Linked DNA regions of Tribolium castaneum. The protein of the gene in region 1 purifies or fractionates together with the protein of each later gene. This does not show direct contact. Links are inferred from orthologs where the notes say so. Each region holds a gene or a part of one and is shown on either strand. Other genes may lie near its edges.

Evidence for each region.
Region 2: the proteins of inhibitor of apoptosis 2 (region 1) and uncharacterized protein LOC103312947 purify together in Drosophila melanogaster (affinity purification with western blotting; 3 studies listed by BioGRID). This does not show direct contact. The link is inferred for Tribolium castaneum from reciprocal best matches to the Drosophila melanogaster genes Diap2 and Fadd.
Region 3: the proteins of inhibitor of apoptosis 2 (region 1) and Dredd purify together in Drosophila melanogaster (affinity purification with western blotting; 3 studies listed by BioGRID). This does not show direct contact. The link is inferred for Tribolium castaneum from reciprocal best matches to the Drosophila melanogaster genes Diap2 and Dredd.

What each region holds. Positions count from the first base shown.
Region 1 is NC_087397.1:2,706,905-2,714,061, reverse strand, and holds inhibitor of apoptosis 2, read left to right. Parts: upstream 1-2,783; coding exon 2,784-3,704; intron 3,705-5,448; coding exon 5,449-6,012; downstream 6,013-7,157. Other genes in the region: Acat1 (acetyl-CoA acetyltransferase, mitochondrial), read right to left, coding at 1-230, 326-1,536, 1,587-1,610.
Region 2 is NC_087398.1:10,611,515-10,617,190, forward strand, and holds uncharacterized protein LOC103312947, read right to left. Parts: upstream 2,862-5,676; 5' UTR 2,699-2,861; coding exon 2,374-2,698; intron 2,326-2,373; coding exon 2,039-2,325; 3' UTR 1,983-2,038; downstream 1-1,982. Other genes in the region: eukaryotic translation initiation factor 4E-1A, read left to right, coding at 851-877, 1,030-1,205, 1,259-1,436, 1,487-1,574, 1,662-1,825.
Region 3 is NC_087398.1:10,956,347-10,963,303, reverse strand, and holds the start of Dredd (caspase-8), read left to right. Parts: upstream 1-2,593; 5' UTR 2,594-2,705; coding exon 2,706-2,805; intron 2,806-2,814; exon of another isoform or gene 2,815-2,867; intron 2,868-2,917; coding exon 2,918-3,042; intron 3,043-3,086; coding exon 3,087-3,878; intron 3,879-5,550; coding exon 5,551-5,767; intron 5,768-5,821; coding exon 5,822-5,962; intron 5,963-6,015; coding exon 6,016-6,343; intron 6,344-6,957. Other genes in the region: leucine-rich repeat-containing protein 15, read left to right, coding at 1,014-2,342. UniProt on the Drosophila melanogaster protein: Effector of the programmed cell death (PCD) activators rpr, grim and hid. May play an apoptotic role in the germline as well as soma. Fadd interacts with Dredd to promote cleavage of Dredd and is necessary and sufficient for enhancing Dredd-induced apoptosis.

The DNA.
Region 1 (7,157 bases):
CGTCCAAACTGTGTTTACACAAATACTCCCCGTTCAAAAAAAGCACAGGTATTTCAAACCTATACAACTTCAACCACCTCACATTCTCTTTTTTCGTAATATCAACAGTTTCAAACTGTACTCTACTAAGATAAGGCCCCAGTTTGGCCTTGACTTCGTCACACAAAGGACAAGGGTCTTTGGTGTACAATATTAATTTCGGTAGCTGATTACGCGGCAGATTCTCTTGCCTAATAAAAAACAAGTTAATTAAAAAACATTTATTTATAAAAATAACAGGTCGTTTTGCAATTGCCGAGGTCATCGCCAGAGATAATAAACTTACAACTTCTCAATCATAACCGAAGAAGCGCCTCCACCACCGTTACAAATCGAAGCAACCCCCTTTTGGCCCGGTTTCAACGCGTGGACCAGGTGGACAATAAGTCGCGCCCCGGACATGCCAATCGGGTGCCCCAAACTGACAGCGCCCCCATGCACGTTCACTTTGGCCGGGTCTATGTCTAGGAGTTGCTGGTTGGCCAAAACCACAACGCTGAAAGCTTCATTAATCTCCCAAAGGGCCACGTCCTCCTTTTTGACACCGGTGTTGCTCAAAAGACGCGGAATGGCCACTGCTGGGGCTATCGGAAAGTCAATGGGGTCACACGCGCCGTCCTCGAAGCCCACAACGCGGGCCAAAGGCTTCGCGTTGAGTCTTTTGGCAGCGTCCGCAGATGTGAGAACAAGAGCAGCAGCCCCATCGTTAAGAGTCGAGGCGTTTCCGGCGGTGACAGTGCCATTTTCCCTTTGGAAGACCGTCGCAAGTTTGGAAAATTTGTTAAAATCGACCCTTTTGTACTCCTCATCGGCGGCAAACACCAAATCGGGTTGCCCTTTTTTTTGGGGCACGCTCACACTGACTAATTCTGACGCAAATTGGTTGCTTGCGTAAGCCTCGGCGCTTCTTTTGTAACTCGAAATTGCGAAATCGTCCTGCTGTTGACGCGTGATTCCCAGCTTTTTGGCCGTATTTTCGGCACAATTCCCCATGTGAAACTTGTTGTAAACGTCGGTGAGGCCGTCAAAGACTATTCCGTCTATTAAATTCACTCCTCCGTACGGCGTGGGCCCCCTTTTCAAGTAGTATGGCACGTTGGACATTGACTCCATTCCGCCGGCTAAAACCACATCCTGGTGGCCAGCTTGGAGGCTTTGGGCCGCCAGCATAACGGATTTCATTCCAGAAGCGCAAACTTTGTTAATTGTGGTGCATATTGTCGACTTGGGGAACCCCGCAAAGAGGGTTGCCTGCCGTGCCGGCGCCTGGCCCACACCTCCCTGGCACACATTCCCCATGTAGACTTCTTTAATTTCTTCTTTTGGAATACCGGCGCGTTCAACGGCACCTTGGATTGCTGTTGCCCCCAATTTAGAGACATGGACAGAGGATAAGGAACCGAGGAATGACCCAATTGGGGTGCGAGCCGCCGAAATTATGACTACTTCGTTTAGTTGCGGTTTGGTGCTGTATGATCTGTTCGTGAGAGTTACGACCTGGGGGACAAATGGGCACTACTTTTGATTTTGCATGATATGACACCAACCTGGGATAGTTTAAAAGCAGACATTTTGAGCTGTTCGTTTAATAAATGCACTCAAACCATGTAAACTGTTAAGTATGTGGGGAAAAAGTGAACCAAAGAAGAGTATTCTAGTGAGGACTTTGCCCTTACTATCAGCTGATCGTCCCACACCAACGGTGCCAAATGCGCTCATTTAGGGCAAAACTCAATAATTTGGGGCTAATAGTCACAGGTCTTTAGTTAGGCAAAGAAATATAACACAAATTCTGATTCTATAATTGTTTATTGTAAAATAAATAAAGTACATTTGAGGAGACCGCCAGTCTTGGATACAGACGACACTATAATAAAACTAAAACTTCCTAAATCTCCTTTTTTAAAACGAGAAGTTCAGTAGAATATAATATTTATTTACAACAAATCGCTTCTAAAACTAAAAATAAAGTAAAATTGCCTATTGGAATGTACATGTTTTAAATGTATAAATTTTATTCAATAAAAGTTCGTCCTCTGGTGGGCGACACTGGCAGCGGTAAAGTCCCTGGCACTGACGTGTCAAGATTCAAAAATGGTTGAATCGGGAGAGAATTTTCAAGAATTGCACGAGAAAATCGCTGCTCTTTTTGAAAATTTCAAAGAAGAATTGAATACTAGAGACCATGATCACATGGGCTACTTTTTGTACAACGTAAATATCACCTCTGACGTTTTGATGTACAAAATCAAGTACGAAATTGATAACTTTATGAGAACGCATGAAAATGTGACAGAGACAAGCGAAAGGTAACATTTTGTGCAAAAAAATGTCGATTAACTTCTAATTTTAGTTCTGCTGTAAATGCAAAAAAGTCCGAGTGTTTGATAAAGTTGCAAACTCTGACTTCGATGCTGACGTGCCACATAATGGACGATTACAGAAAGAAAATGGAGGGAAAAAAATAGTTTTTGTGAATAAATTTGTAATAATTATGTAAATTAGAAAAAATCGTTTGAATTCTAATGACTTTGGCATTTGGGTCGGTAAAAGCGGTCCCTAGCCGGTGTTTGAGTAATGTCAGCTGATAGCTGACAGTCCTTGGTGAAGTGGTTCGAGGAGGAACGGTTCCCATGTCTTAGACTTAGTATATTGGTGTTTCTGCCGTGCTACTTAATAGCGAGGTTCTCAAAGTCGGCGCTGAGCTCGATTTAAAAAAATGTCATAACGTGAAAATCGCGAAAATGAACGTGGAACAGAACCGTTTGGACACGTTCGAAGAGTGGCCTCAAGACGCCGCTGTGTCACCCCCTCGAATCGCCAAAGCCGGTTTTTTCTACACCAAGCACGACGTCACCGTCGAATGCTTCTCCTGCCACTTGACAATTTCGGAATGGAACTACGGCGACCAAGTAATGGCCAAACACAAGACCCTCAACCCTTCTTGCCCCTTCGTCTTAAACCCAACTACCTCAGGAAATGTTCCTATAATATCACCTACAAACGTACCTTCCACCTCCGACTCGATGAAGGACGAGGCCGTCCGGCTCAAAACCTTCGCCAAGTGGCCCAAGCCCCACATCGTGGCCCCCGAGCGCCTCGCCCGCGCCGGCTTCTACTATCTCAACACGGGCGACAACACCAAGTGCGCCTTCTGCAAGGGGGTGGTGCGGGCGTGGGAGCCGGGCGACGACCCCGACCAGGAGCACAAGCGCCACTTCGAAGACTGCCCTTTCGTCCTCACCGAAATCGTCCCCAGACTCAGCCAAAACACCAACGGACAAGTCAAGACAGACTCGTCGTCTTTCACCAATCTGCATCTAGTCGCCAACGAAAATTTGCACTGTCTGGGAGTCCAGACGCACAAAGGCCCCAAAAAACCCAACTACGCCACCCTCGAATCGCGGCTGAGATCCTTCGCCACGTGGCCCCCTGACCTGATCCAAACCCCAGATATCCTCTCCCAAGCCGGGTTCTACTACGAGGGAATGGGGGACCAGGTCAGGTGCTTCCACTGCGACGGCGGCCTCAGACACTGGGACCCCCAGGACGATCCCTGGACGGAGCACGCCAGGTGGTTCCCCAGGTGCTCCTTCATCAAGCTGGTCAAGGGGCAGGAATTCGTCACCGCCTGCTCCCTCGAACTCAACGTCAACAGCAACCTGGTGAGCCCCAAATCAGCGACCTTGATTCGATGGTTATTTTAATATGCAATTATCGTTTAATTACGATTATCTGCGCCTTACTAGGTCATAAAAATAATTTGCGCAAATTCCGTTTATAAATATGACGTTTGGAAACTTCGCAAAATTGTTTTTTGTCACAGCTGCATTATCAGTTCTCCGGAAAATTTGTGTACACAATTAACCAAGAAAATTATTAGCCAAATAATTTTTTACAACTACGATTATAAGGGACAATTGCGCAACAATTCATAGACCGTCTTCACTCTTCAGTCCCTAGTTTTATGAATGAAGTCTAAACCGGATGTTCGATGTTTACACAATCGTTGTCCCATTTTCCCGAAAGTGTGAACCAATGTTTCTTGTCCCCGAAACCTCGATGGCTCAATGCAACGATTGCATTTTCGATATTTGATATGTAAACATTTCAAGGTGAAAATAGAAAAACTTGTTTTAGGTTGAAAACTTTTTATTCGTGTTCATTTCTCTATAATTTGTGGCGCCGCAAATGTGCAATGTTTATTATTGGATTACTTTGAAAAGCATGACGTCAGAAATGCAAGGACTTGACCAATTTTAATCGGACCGACGTTGCATCAAGTTTCAATTCAACACAATGATTAATTTCGCTTCCAAGAACTTTATAAATTTATTATTTCCATATGTTTTTAATTATTACTTAGTTGCTGGCCTTGTTCGTATTTGATCGTCCCATATTCGCCAACCTTGCACAATTTTTTTTCGATGTGTGAAATTGAAAAATTGCACATCCTTCTATGCACTCAAAGAACTTATTATCAAGAATGCATGACTCATGACATGAATTTGCATTGTTTTAATTCATGTGACTGTGAGACTGTTAGGTCACATGATGGATTATTTTTACCAGATAACGAGCGTATGCATAAACAGGATGATAATTATTGTTACAGTCACAGTCTTCACTTTTACGAAAATTAATAAATGTAAAAGATGGGATTAAATCTAAAAAAAATACCATTCTGTTTATTATTTCTCTTAAAAACTCAGTCAAATGTTTCATTCGAACACTCGGACGAACAGTGCCTCTTTAAGCACTAACCCCTGCAGCTCAGCATTCGGGGAATATGTTTACCTCCCATTTAATGGGGTCTAGAAATGGTTTGCAGTTAAAGGAGCTCAAAGTACCCGATTTTTAATTGCTATACTGAAAAGCCTACCACAGCTCGTGTGCAGTTTAAGTTAATATAAAAATAATAGCGGACAGCGGTCTCCTTCCCGGTTAATTTTCTTATGTAAATAAGGCATTTTTCCGTAGCAATTGATTTCCTGTTATTAATGGACTAGACAAAGAGTCCGTCCCTGGTTTACGTAATTGTTATGACAAAGGCAGTAACTATGCAAGTGGAAAAGAATCCGATGGGCGTTTCCAGACCACTCAAACCGTTATAGAAAAGGTCGGAATGCAGTTCGAGTTAAAAATGCCCCAAAAAAATTTAATAATTCGCCCCAATTTCCTGGATTAGCTTATCTTATCTGAAAAAATCTTGGCGCCAGAAGTTCGCCGAACTGTCCCAACATTCCACCTTTCCGGGAATTAGGGACCGAAGAATTTACCTCTCGGCTTTGCCTCTTTTCGTAGAAACCTTGTCGGCTTACAAAAGCGGCAACATAATGAAATTCTCTGAAGAAAAGAAATTCCATCTCGCAAGATCGGCGCCATAAAACGTTTCAATTTGTGTTTCAGGAGGAGGTCGACCAGAAGAACTACCCGAGTGTCCAGTCGCGAAAGCGCGAGGTCACCGAGCAAGAAATCCAGGAGCATATGTTGGGGGAAGTGGCCCTGTCGGCCCTTAGCATCGGCTTGAATGTCGAAAGGGTGAAAAGGGCGATTCGGGAGAAGTTGGAACAGACTGGCCGCGGCTACTCACAGCCGGACGCTTTGGTCGAAGCCGCTCTCAATCTCCAGCACAGCGAGGAGGACTTGTCCGATGATCAGGACACTCACGTGAAGAATGTCGTAGAAAATGTTTTAGATAATATAATTGCACGGAGTTGTTCGAGTGAGATTAAAACGGAAAACGAACCGATAGTTAAGGAATCAAGATCCAATAAAACTTTATCGCTAGAAGAAGAAAATCGAATTCTGAAAGAGGCAAGACTGTGTAAGATTTGTATGGACGCCGAGGTCGGTATAGTGTTTCTGCCGTGCGGACATTTAACGACGTGTGTTAATTGTGCACCGAATTTGGAAGATTGCCCTCTATGTAGATCCGCCATCAAGGCCACTGTTAGAACGTTTTTGTCATAACTATTTATTAAACTCAATAAATTTATTTTATAACACGACTGCTTTCATTCAACTCCAAAGCCTTTGTTTCCTATCGGTGATAACATATCACAGCGGAATAAAACCGCCAAACTGGATCAATCAATCCAGTTATGGCCCCGGACCGCCCAGTTATGTGCAGCGCCGGAATTGGCAATCTCTCAATTTGAAAAGTGAGTATTAATGTCCTTGTGATGTAATTCGAGTTACGAAATTCTGTGGGAAATCAAACCCGGCTTGTGGTAAGGGCAAGACCCAAATGTTGCCTTAAGCGACGGAGTGCTCACGTAGGAACACCCACTTGGTTGCCTTTATCGAATAACACCCAAGTAGCACGACTTGGTCGCAACAAAATAACCGTAATATTTGCGTTACGGTTCTTTCTCAGTACAACTCGACTGTATCAACAATTTTGTGTTTTTCGAAAGGCAGATGTTTGGGGAACAGGTGCAAGGCCAGGTGCGGGATCATCTGCTGGGCCGCATTCCTTGACAGACCACGAGCCAAATAATTGGTCAAATGGAGACAATGAGTTGTTATTGACTGATAAAAGCGATTAAACGTGATCTTCGTACTCGCAGGTCGATGCCTTCACAAATATTCCTTTTGTAGGCAAATTGCGCGCCAAAGCGGCTCCGACATTCTATTTTTTAATTATGTAACAACAATAAAACACTCCAGTTTTATCAGGGAACGAGAAAATTTCAATTAGCTTTGTTTATTACGATGTATCTTGCATTGTAAAAGTTTTTTTTTAATTATTGTTGCGATAATACAGTAATACTTCAAGGTATTTTTTTATCTGTTTCTCCGAAAAATTCTATCACCCTTATACTGCGTCATTATTAACAAGTTTTATTACATATGAGGGGCAGTAATAGTGGAACTTGTATCTTTTCATCTACTTAAACTTATAAATAAGGGGTGAACACCGATCGATAAACCCTTGTGAAATATTACGCACCGAATATTGCCAAGTAGGCTACTGTCATATTTCACATATAGTACATATACAGGCTGCTTCAGGGAAGACTTTCCATTATTCCAAAAATTTAAACAATGTAATTAATTTATTTTACAGTAATCTTCATTTTAAACAAAATAACTGAAAAATAGAGACTGTTTTA
Region 2 (5,676 bases), on another chromosome or scaffold:
ATTAAACGGACACCACTTTTAATTATTTCTCTTTGCTTAGATTTTTTTGCTGTTGGTTGCTGTTTTTGAAACAGCCACCAGAATTTTTCTATCAGATCTAGTCTTTTGAGATATAGGTAGGTAACTAATATTAGAATTTATTTGAAAAATGCACCTATTTTTTGGTTTACTTCTTTGTGCCCTGATTTTTTGCTGTTGTTAACTGTTGGACTGATTTTAAAATTACCGACAGATTTTTCCTACCAGCTCAAGTTTTTGTGATTGATTATATTAGAACTTTCCGCATTTTTCATAAGCTCTATTACTGCTCTAAAATGAAAACTTCTAAATTTGGATATCAGATTTGAAACCTACATTTCAAAAAAGATTGCTTAATTGCTGCGTATATTTGGTTGCCTGTACTAGAAAGATGGTCGATTAATGGGTTCAGTATCGCACGATTACAAAATTGTAACATAACATGACAGGCAATTCATATGTATAGTTAATAACGGTCAATAGGAAAATTATCCACCTGCTATTTAAGCCTACAAATCATCTAATTTGGACACTGACAGGGTAGGCAACACATTATATACATATATCAATTGTTTAAATTTATAAAATGGCTATTTTAATTCGCACTTTTGGCGAGTTTTTATGATTTTTGGTACATTTTAAAATAAACGTTTGCTTGTATTTAAGGAAGTTTTTTTGAATCTGCTTAAGTTTGGTATTTGAAAATCCCGCTGTTGGTGTGGCACTATGCAACCGGCCGGTTTCCTTCATTTTACAAAGTTGGCACAGAATCGGTGATAGGTGGAAAAGCAACCAACTTTCATCGCGCTGATTAGCGAATTACTTTAAGAAAATGTCTTCAAATTCGATAGAAAGCGAGGTAAGGCCCTGCTAATCCAACTATAAAAACTTTGGGTCATGTTTCAATCGGTAATTGTTGATATTTTCCAAGATTTGTCACAGCCCCGGCAATTCTGCCATATTGCATTCACATGACCATCCCTTGTAATTTTTTGTGTTGCTTCGCCACAGAACGAAAAAAACGACCTAAAGACTGAGAACGACATAGACATCGCGCAGGATTTTTCCATCAAACACCCGCTCCAAAACTGCTGGACACTTTGGTACTACGAGAATGACAGGAGCCAGACGTGGGAGAAGAACCAGAAGGAAATCGCCTCGTTTCAGACCGTTGAGGACTTCTGGAGGTAGTTATTGTGTTCAGGACACGGTGATGAGTGCTACTTGTGGCAAATTTCAGTTTATACAATCACATTAAGCCCGCAAGTGAGCTGAGACAAGGGAACGACTATTCCCTGTTCAAGAGGGGCATCAGGCCCATGTGGGAGGATGAAGCGAACAAACGCGGGGGGCGTTGGCTTATTAACTTAGACAAGAAACAGAGGACCAACGAGCTTGACCGGTACTGGCTTGATATTGTAAGTTCTTGCATAACGTCCGATTAAATTTCACACTTGACCTCCTTCAGATCTTGTGTCTAATTGGGGAAGCGTTCGAGCATTCGGATGAAATCTGCGGGGCGGTAGTCAATATTCGAGGAAAGGGTGATAAGATCGGTAGGTGACTAATCTAGGTTGGCGATATTGGGTAGTAATTGTTGCCAACTTAACAAGTCATGGGTCACTTCGATTTGTTGATTTCAGGGGTCTGGACTTCCGACGCCACAAAAAGCGCGGCTGTCATCGAAATCGGCAAAAAACTGAAGGAGCGGCTGCATATACCGCCAAGGACGGTTTTAGGATACCAAATCCACAAAGACACTCAGGACAAGTCTGGTTCCGTTACCAAGAATTCATACACCGTTTAATTAGAGTAACCGTTGAAATGTTTTCGTTTTGAGAATGTTCGTATTGGTATTGATTTCCCATGGTTTATTTGAATATATTTATTTCATTTTCTACTTTATTAATCTCGTTTTGTATGCCAGGATATTGTTGCGTTTGTATATAATTAAAGACGAGACACTTGTTTGAACTTTATATTTTTATAAAAATAACAACAGCTCGTTAACAATTATAAATTATGGAAAATCGAATATATCCTGCACTTTCAATCTGAGGTCCTTCCGCCTTGCGTCCGTTAAAGCTTCCAATAATTTACTACGCCACCTATATCTATCACAGTTTTGTTCGTGAAAAGCCAAAATCTTGTAGGCCCTAGCTGATGTGCTCCTCACAGTGTTTAAGTCGTCTATGTCGCCCTCAGGGATGCCCAAAGCCCGAGCAAAGTCGGTCCATTTTTGGCCGATTCCCTCGGCTATGCATTTGTACACCCTATCCTTGGTACTTTTTGGTATTCTAACAAAACCTAAATTCACATTTTTGCATTATAATTACAGTAAAGTGAGGCGACTACCTGAGTATTCCTCTGGACTATGACTATTACAAGCGTTGCAATTAACGTGATTGTCTTCAATTTGAACATTTCTGAGACTGTGTAACACTTCCGGTTGTTTAAACTCACTAGCTATGTCACTCAAAGCCTGGGTGTTACTAGAGTTGAGATAATTTCGTTTTTCCAAAACTTTAATTAGCTCTGACAGCGACCTTATGTTCTCCAACCTTCTGTTAGAGTTGATCACAGTTTGGTACCTCTCCTTCAGGATTTTCAATTGTTCACTTGGACAACGTATACTTGCAATTTCATTGCACAGCATTTTATAATTGGAGTTCGTTGACATTATTTTAGAGCTCAAATCAACCGAGAGACAAGCAATTACATGAATCAGTCTTTAAAACATCACACACTCCTATTTTTAGGTCGATTTTGGCATATTTTTAACCTCAATCTGTCAGTGTCATTTCTAAACGTCACATTACCAATGTCGGTGAAGATAGCACCAAAAATGATGCAGGTACTATGAACATTACAGTCGACCAGACAATTGCTGCGCCCACCATACTCATTTTCTAAAGCCAAGTTCACACCAGAAAAATTATCAAAATAATCGTAAATCATTCGTCAACAAGCTGTTACGCTGACTTGCTTATCACATTTGTAAAACATCTCCTGACCATTCTAATGTGTTTCTATTACAAATTAAAACTTAATTGCATTTAATTTCTGCATTTATTCTCATATTCAAGCAATACACTCTCTTTATATCTTCCAATTTTCTTTATTTTTGCAGGAGATTAAGCCCTCCAATAGGGCCTTCGACCGTAAAACAATCATGTTCTGACAAACACCCCTTGGGACCTTAACGATTTTTTTTTAATTTTTATAAAATTTCTGGATTTTGTAAACTCGTATTTAAGGATTGCTCTAATTAGTCAAATTAATAACTAATTTGTCCAGCAAGAACCACGTGGAGGTTTAGAGCATTCTTGCCAGGAAAAAAGGATATAAGGATGAGGTAAACGATGATTTTTAGAAAATAAAGGGAATAAAGGAGTTAGTGGTTTGTGTAATGAAAAAAAAATACAACACAAAAATATAGTACACCTACCTTCGGATTGCTTCTGCGTTGGCTACTGTTTGTAGCAAAACATTAATAAGAAATTAAAACCACCATTAAAAAAATCTTTATTTGCATTAAAGTTACAACAAGCAACTGTTATCAATATTACACAAAGTAAAGAATACACAATACGTTATAATATATGGTACACAAATTATTAAATTCAATACCTCACAAGATAAACACAAAAAAATGCACCTACCTTCATTTCGCTTCTGCGTTGGCTACTGTTTGTAGCAAAGTTACAACAAGCTACTTTTATCAATATTAAACAAAATAATAAATACACAGTACGTTTCAATATATAATGGCACTCAAATTATTAATTTCAACACCGCATTTAGAGCCGGTGTATACAACATTGTAATTGTAATTAAATTTTAAGGAATTATTGGTTTCTGAAATAAAAAGACAACAACACAAAAATAAAATGGACGTACCTTCATATCGCTTCCACGTTGGCTACCGTTTGTAGCATTAAAAAAATAATAATAATAAAAATGAAACCAAAAAAAAAAAAGTTTATTTGCATTAAATTTTGAGCAAGCCACTTTCATTCATTGAAATTAAAGACAAAATTAATACGTGGCAATAAATTGTTTGAGTGTTTGATTTATTTATAGTTACTGTATTTAGAATGAGTCACTCAAACAATGACTTTTCAACACCGTATTTAGAGCCGGTGTACACAACATTGTAATTGCAATTAAATTTTAAGGAATTATTGGTTGGTGAAATAAAAAGACAACAACACAAAAATAAAATGGACGTACCTTCATATCCCTTCCACATTGGCTACCGTTTGTAGCATTAAAAAAAATTAAAAACAACACCAATGAAAAAATCTTTATTTGCATGAAAATTACAACAAGCGACATAATTTTACGGTTGTAAAAAACAATCAACAATGTTATATTTAAGGATTGCTCTAATTGGTCAAATTAGTCAATAACTAATTAAAAATTAAAAATTAGTCAATAACTAATTTGTCCAGCAAGAACCACGTGGAGGTTTAGAGCATTCTTGCCAGGAAAAAAGGATATAAGGATGAGGTAAACAATGATTATTTGAAAATGAAGGAAATAAAGGAATTATTGGTTTGTGAAATGAAAAAATAGTACACAAAAATCAAACCTTTTTCACTTTGCGTTAAATAAATGCTCTTAGCTTTTGTACTGCATCTGCTACCATTTGTAGCAAACCTAAAAAATAAATTAAAAACACAACCAACAAAAAAATTAATTTGTAGGAAAGTTACAACAAGCGTCTTTAATAAATATTATACAGAATAAAGGATACACAATACGGTATAATATATGGCACACAAGCTATTAAATTCAACACATCACAAGATAAAACGCAAAAAAATGCACCTACCTTCATATGGCTTCTGCGTTGGCTACTGTTTGTAGCAAGACATTTAAAAAATTAAAACAACACCAATAAAAATCTTTATTTGCATGAAAGTTACAACAAGCAATGATTGTCAATATTAAACAAAATAAAAAATACACAATACTTTTCAATATGTGGCAATTCAAATTCAAATCAAATTCAATACCTCAGTAAATAAATGCACCTACCTTCATATCGCTTCCACGTTGGCTACTGTTTGTAGCATTAAAAATAATAATAATAAAAATGAAGCCAAAAATAAATGTCTATTTGCATTAAATTTTGAACAAGCCACTTTCATTCATTGAAATTAAAGATAAAATTATTACGTGGCAATAAATTATTTGAGTGTTTTATTTTATTTATAGTTACTGAATTTAAAATGTGTCACTCAAACTATCACTTTTCAACATCGCATTTAAAGATTTTAATTGCAATTAAGTTTTATGAAATTGTTGGTTTGTGAAATAAATAAATACGACACAGCAATAAAATACACCTACCTTCATATCGCTTCCACGTTGGCTACCGTTTGTAGCATTAAAAATAATAATAATAAAAATGAAGCCAAAAATAAATGTTTATTTGCATTAAATTTTGAGCAAGCCACTTTCATTCATTGAAATTAAAGACAAAATTATTACGTGGCAATAAATTATTTGAGTGTTTTATTTTATTTATAGTTACTGAATTTAAAATGTGTCACTCAAACTATCACTTTTCAACACCGCATTTAAAGATTTTAATTGCAATTAAGTTTTATGAAATTATTGGTTTGTGAAATAAATAAATACGACACAGCA
Region 3 (6,957 bases), on another chromosome or scaffold:
CCATGAAATAAACCCACACAATAAAGGCGCACAAGAAGAAAGTCTACAGAAAAAGCCCACACAGAAAAAAACTCACACCGAAAAATATTCATACGGAAAAAAACACATAGAAAAAAACATACAAACACAAAAGCCCACCCAGAATGAAAAAAGACCATTCAGAAAAAAAACTCACATGAATAAAAGCCCCACTGTCCAAAAAGCTCACGGAAAAATTAATTCACTGGAAAAAAAGCACTTTCTGCAGTCGTCGATACATTTATAAAAATTATAATTATTCGGATAACAATAAAAATATTTTAGAATCATTTTTTGTTACAATTCTATTAAAGAAAAGAGTAAATTAGTATAATGAAAAGGGATACTGTGCAATTTTTTAGACAAAGACATCTTATTTTTATTTGTTGTGATTTTTTTCTTTTAGTTATAAATTTAAAATTTTGGAAAAATTATCACGGCTTTTCAACGTCTAGCTTGACCTAAACTGAGTGATCTGTCCGCATCTATCATTCTTTTCGCATTAATTTGTTGAATTGTTAAAGTGATGTAGGGGAGAGTAGAGTAAAATGATCCCAAAAATCAAGAAAACTAGTAGTAGTAAGGTAACATTATTTTCTGGCCAAAAAGTAGTATACGTAGTAAGAAAAGAAAAATCTGGTCAAATAAAATAGAACTGCACAATCTGATACACTTTAATGTGTATCTTAGTTGTTTTATTAATACAGCTAGCATAATCTAATGCAATTTTCAATTAGGTGTAACTGTTTTTTCAACTACATAGAATTCTCTTAAAAGATAAATAGCACAAAACAATTTTTAGTGCAAAATTTTAAAATTTTGCGCCAATTATTGTTTGCACGATGAGTCAATTATAATTTCTCAATTCTCAGCGTGAATTATGCAGAACTTATCACAACATCTTTCTGACCCTGAAGCCACCAACTACGACCTTCAGAACTCTATTTACATTCCCATCATCGATAAAGACTACCAGTTTTCAAGCTACTGTTAAAATGTTAAAAACAACTGTGATTTCTTTACTTTTGATTGGTGTAACACGAGCTGAAACCATTTCTTTCAAAAATGTAACACTGGAATGGAAAACAAGCACAGATCGTAACACCACAACCATTCCATCATCAGCCAACCTTCGAGACAACATCCCAAAGCTTCAGACCGAGATTTCGGTGGTTTTGAGTGGTTTAGTGCCTGTTTTATACCCAAAATCAGTGAGTGGTGTACCAACTTTAAAATCACTAACAGTATCAAACGTCGGCTTGAGAGAAATAAAACCAGGAGCGATTGAAAATTTACCACTTCTGGCCCATTTGATTTTAAATCGCAATGAGCTCAAAGTTATTGAACGAGGAACTTTCACAAACTTAAACCTGACAAGTGTGAATTTAGGTGACAATGAAATTTCCAAACTCGAACTTGGGGCTTTCAAAAACCTCAAAATTCACCATCTCACACTCAGTAACAACAAAATTTCTGAGATTCGAAACGGGACTTTTGAAAACGTCTCACTCCAAAGCTTGAATTTGTACGGAAATGGGCTCCGAAAAATCGACGGACCAATCACAAACTTAACAAATCTGGTCCTGAGCAACAACAATTTGACCGAAATCGATTTGCATTTCCCTGATTTAAAATATCTCGACTTGAGTTTCAATTCCATTCAAGTTCTAAAGCCCGGAGACTTGAAAAATCTTCCCGCACTGGACACGTTGGACCTCACCGCTAATACCCTTCACCACGTCCCTGAAGGTGTCTTCAGTCAGTCGAAACTGGTAACTTTGAAACTAAATTACAACCAAATCGCGAAAATCGAACCCAAGTCATTCGACGACATGTCTCAGCTCAGTGTTTTGCACATCGACCACAACAACTTAACCCAATGGGATGACAAATGGTTGAGTAATTCCCCCAAGTTGGCCTACATTTTCGCCGGTTTTAACCGAATTGGAGCTTTGCCGGGCCAAGCCTTCCGGAATTATCCCCAAATGTACAGCATTGATTTGCAAGGAAATTTGATTAAAGAAGTTTCACGGGAAAGTTTCGCGGGGTTGGAGAAAGTGGTGAATTTTAGTTTGAGGGATAATTTGATTGTGGATTTGGACCCAGAATGGCTGGCTAATGCGACGGTGGGAAGTGTGGATTTGAGTGGAAATAAGCTGGGGTGTGTGGAGGGAAATTTAGAGGAGGCTTTCAGAAGGGTGGACTTTGTGCATCTGGAGGGGAATCCCTGGCGGGAGGATTGTGTGGAAAAGATTAAAACATTTCTTTCCCAGTGGCCAAAAATAAAACGCATTGTTAGTTCTGTGTCACAACAACCAATTTGATCTAATATTGATTAAAAACTTTGTTTGTAGTTTTATTGTTGTCCCAGAGCGAAATTATTAAATTTACCGCCTGTTTGAATGGCGTTCTACACGATTGCGTCCTATGTTTAGTAGGATATTTTCTGTTTTGATTAAGAATTTAATTAAAGTATTAACGTAAAAAATTAAATTTTGTTGTTCCAAATCAATTCGCAGCCAATTTATCGATATCGCAGTCATCTTTTTATTGATTTACTGTTTGGCTCATGTCCTTTGATTAAAACCTAGGGATTTTTCGCATGGATGCCATCACGGGGAAGTCCCTTGTTGAGTTACGTGTTTTAATCAGTTTATCGAATTAATTGTTATTTAAAACCAACGACAATGGGTGGATTGTTTTCAAGCCAAGGAAATGATTATTCCGACGATTCGTGTTCCGAAGAGGAAAGCAACGAGGTGTCGTGCAAAAATCAACCTACCTTTGGTAAATTTGTTTATCAACTTTTGATCTCAAGTGTCATTTTTTGCAACATAACCCCACTTTTTGTTACGTATTTAATTCCAGTAATTTAGTATTAATTTGAGCGATGTTTTAGATGAGGACAATTGTTTGGACTCCACTGACACCATAGACGCCAGTTTATCGCAACCAGCGATGCCAATAACGCTAAATGTGGACCAAGTTATGTCCATTGAAAACGACTTGGATGACTACGAGAAGGTAGTTATTTCTGGGAGCTATCCTTTAATAAAGAATGGTTACAGGTGGCCCTTGTGTTTTTGATTTACGAAGACCCCAAATCTGCGTTTGTTCAACTAACGAAATTGCTCCAAGGGTCCCATGACAAACTCTTGTATAATTGGGCAATTCATGAGAACTTAGCCGGTCGGAAGTGGCAAGAAAAGCTGGTTGAGGCACTTTGCATCATCCAGAATTACCAAATCATATCAAGTTTGGGCTTCAAACGGGAGGATTTAACCGCTCGGTTTTTACCGCACCACATTTTCACGTACGCCTATGTGAACAAAGTCAGAAAGGCCCTCTATTTCGTCTGCGAGGCGTTGCAGCAGAAGGACGTTGAGAATTTGCTCAACTTGGCGTGTAAGGACTTCAGGGAGAAGGGGCTGGATTTTAAGTGCATTAATGCGCAATTTTTGGAGTTGTATTTGCTGCATTGGGAGACTGTGGGGTACGTAAAACTGGACGATTTGAGTAATTTGTGTAGAGTTCTCAAGCAAATTGACCAGTTGGATATTTGTGATAAACTGAGAGAAATTGTGCCAATTGTGCACAAATCTGCTGAGAGTAGAAGTGTAGATAAAAGAGTAGATTCTAGTGAGAGTGAAAAAAGACAGTCAGTGAGTGTGTTTGAGGGAATTTTAGATCCAAAGTCCAGTTTGCTTAGTCTGGCCTCGCTGGAGACGTCGCATATCAGTGCAGACAATGCAGCTTTTGTCAGCGATGAAAATAAATATTTTATTGATCCAGAAAGACCTGGCATTTGTTTGATCATCAATCAAGAGAATTTCTACAGAGAAGTGGACAGAAAATATCGAGTAAGTTGGGGGAGAGGTGTTTTGTACCATGCTCTCAAAATTTCTGATCAAAAATTGACAAAAGAAAAAAATATGTAAGGTTCTAAGGAGTAACTGTTGATTTGTCATTGTTTTTTATAGTTAAAAGACCTTTAATTAAGCTCTGTTTTCTGCAAAAATTACGAAAATCCTTGTAGGGATTGTCACTTGCATTTGTCTTGCCAAGGTATTTTGAGAAAACAAAAAAAAATTATTAATGCGTTAAGCAGTGATTGTAAGTTCATCATTTTTTTACAACCAAAGGGTGTTTTAAGAAAATATGCTTGGAAAAAATACTGTTTGCTTGTGAAAACTTAAGAAGAGTAGGTAATAAAAAAAATTACAATTGTATGTTCTTTCTAAATCCAATCTTAATTATTATCTCTCAGACTAGTTGATATCTCGTATTAAATATTTGTAACCAAGCATTAACGAGGTAAAAACTAAAAATAATTTTAGAGTTTTTATAAAAAATAAACGTTTAAATGAAAAAATGAAATGAAACTGTATGCTGTTTTCTAAATAAAATAATAAATGGGCGGTCTATTTCCAACAGGTAACATCTCTAGCTTTACTTAACTTTTCAGGAAACGAGTGAAACGTTTCCTGAAAATAAAATAAAATAATAAAAGTAAGGATAAGAATTTAAGTATAAGGTTTTCATAATTTTGATTAGCATAAGTTAATGCAAAAGAAATGCATATTTCTGTATTAATAAAGACAAGGACAAGCTTACAAAATTAAGCGAATGCTTCTGCTAATTGTTTGACTTATCAAATTATAGACAACTGGAGGCAAAAATAAAAGCTGCAGCCATATACAGAGCTTAATATGTATTTTTTATACAATTTGCAATAATTTAATAACTTATTTTTTAAAGTAAACAAGTGTAAAGTAAACAAAATCATAATATAATAGTCCTCAAAAGTACTCACATTCACATTATTTTCAATTATTATTTTTTGCAGGCTAAGAACTTTTAAATTCATAAATATAAAAGATTTTTTGTTTCATCTGTTTTTGAAGTAAAGGCGTTAATAGATGAAGATCTAACATGTCGCGGTGGAAATTTTTTAAGAGTATTCCATATTGAGGGAAACTCTTCTTGTATTCTTCTGCTGAATTAGCTCCATTCTATTCCATTAGGAATTTTTGTTAATGTAGGATTAGGTATTCCCCTATAAAAGTTTCATAGCTTTATTTTTTTATTGCCAGTTACATTTTTATCTGTTTTTTTTTTATATATAGCAGTATGTATGTTTATCAATTATTTTGTAATAATTTTACTATAACTAAAAATTCGGATTCTTTTTTCTCACGCAAAGATTCATGATAAGATGAGAAATCCCGAGGCATTCTACAATGGTATAATTAATAATTATTCTAACTGTAGAGTATTTTATTTTGCATCTTTTACGTGTCTTCCTTCTCTTATGAAATCCTTAAACCAGAAATTAAATTCAATTTACTTGAAGGAAGTGATACTTCAAGTTTTTTAAGTGACACACAAGAGACAAACAATTCCTTAGAATCATAAGCAAATGCTTTAAGTAAAAGCATTTTATTAATACCACCCATTAATCCAGTCTTTCCGAGTCATTTATTTGATCAGAAATTTAGTAGAAAGCACTTCGTAATGTTTCTTCATTACTAGCACTTGCTTCCACGCCGGGACAACAAATTAGAACTTAGGATTGGTACACAATACGACCGAGACAAGCTTGAAGCCACTTTCCGACAATTTGGTTTCAAAACTATTGTAGAAAATAATCTCACTCATTTGGAAATGCTACGAAAAATAGAAGAAGTAGTGCAAAGCGTTAACGATGAGTCGAGCCTTTTCATTTCTATAATGTCTCATGGTGATGTAGGTTGGTTGATTTATTTTCCTTGTGATGCAGTTATTTATCTTTTATCTCTATTAGGTGTCGTTTACGGCGTTAATAGTTGCCAAGTCGACGTCAAAGCAATTAAACGTGTGATGTGTACCAAAAATCGCCCACATTTATCGGGGAAACCCAAAGTTTTAATCCTCCAGTCTTGTCAAGGCACCAGATGTCAAAAAAGTACGATTGGTTGATTCTTGTAACTTTATAAAAATTTATTTTTATTGTATTAGTTCAGTCAGATGACGATGACATTGAAACAGACGGTCCTTCGTCACCTGTCCAAGAATCAGTCCCGCCAATAGCAGATTTGTTCACTTTCTGGGCCACAGTTCCAGGCTATGGTGCAATAAGGAACAAAAAAACAGGATCCTGGTTTATTCAGTCCTTGTGCGGAAAAATGAAAGAATTGGGGCATAAGTACCATTTCGATGATATCTGCACCAGTGTTATAGGGGACGTAAGTAGGAAAAAATGGTGCCAAGAGAAGGACGAAGTGGCAATGGTGCCAGAAAAGGAGTCCACATTCAGGAAACTGTTTTATCTGCCACCCGTTAGAGTGTAAGTTTTTAAAAAATTATTAAGCAATATGATTTTTAAATTAAGTTGGTGACACTGAAAAACTGAAAAATGTTGCTAACTTAATTTCAATTATATTTAATTTTTTTAATGAAAACTCAAATAATTTTTGTTCAAAAAATAAACCAAAAAATTCGAAAACAGTCTTTTATTAACTCATAAAAACAGTGCATTTAATACTGACTAATTGCGACCTAATCAAGTCTAACTGTCTGCTTTTCGGTAATCTCTCTTTGAGCTCAGCCAACTCGCTAATCCAATAGCGATGTATATCACACTAATAGCGATATGGAAAATCCCATATACGAAATACTGATTTCGGGGGCCTAGGGCAAAGCCCACCCCTTTAGTGACCACAACCATCGTCAAAATCGACTGAAACGCCAACGCAACAAACGTATTAATTCCAAAAACCAGCCCATAACTGTCCTCCTTAATGCATTTGGCGATTTCAGCGCTGGCTATCGTAATCATAAAGTGGTAAAGCCCCCCAAAGGCTATATAACAGATATAACTCAAAATAACGTATTTAGTTCGCGACGTATAAAGCAGAATGAATCCGCTCATCAGCGAGCACAGCGTCAGAGCCAACTCGC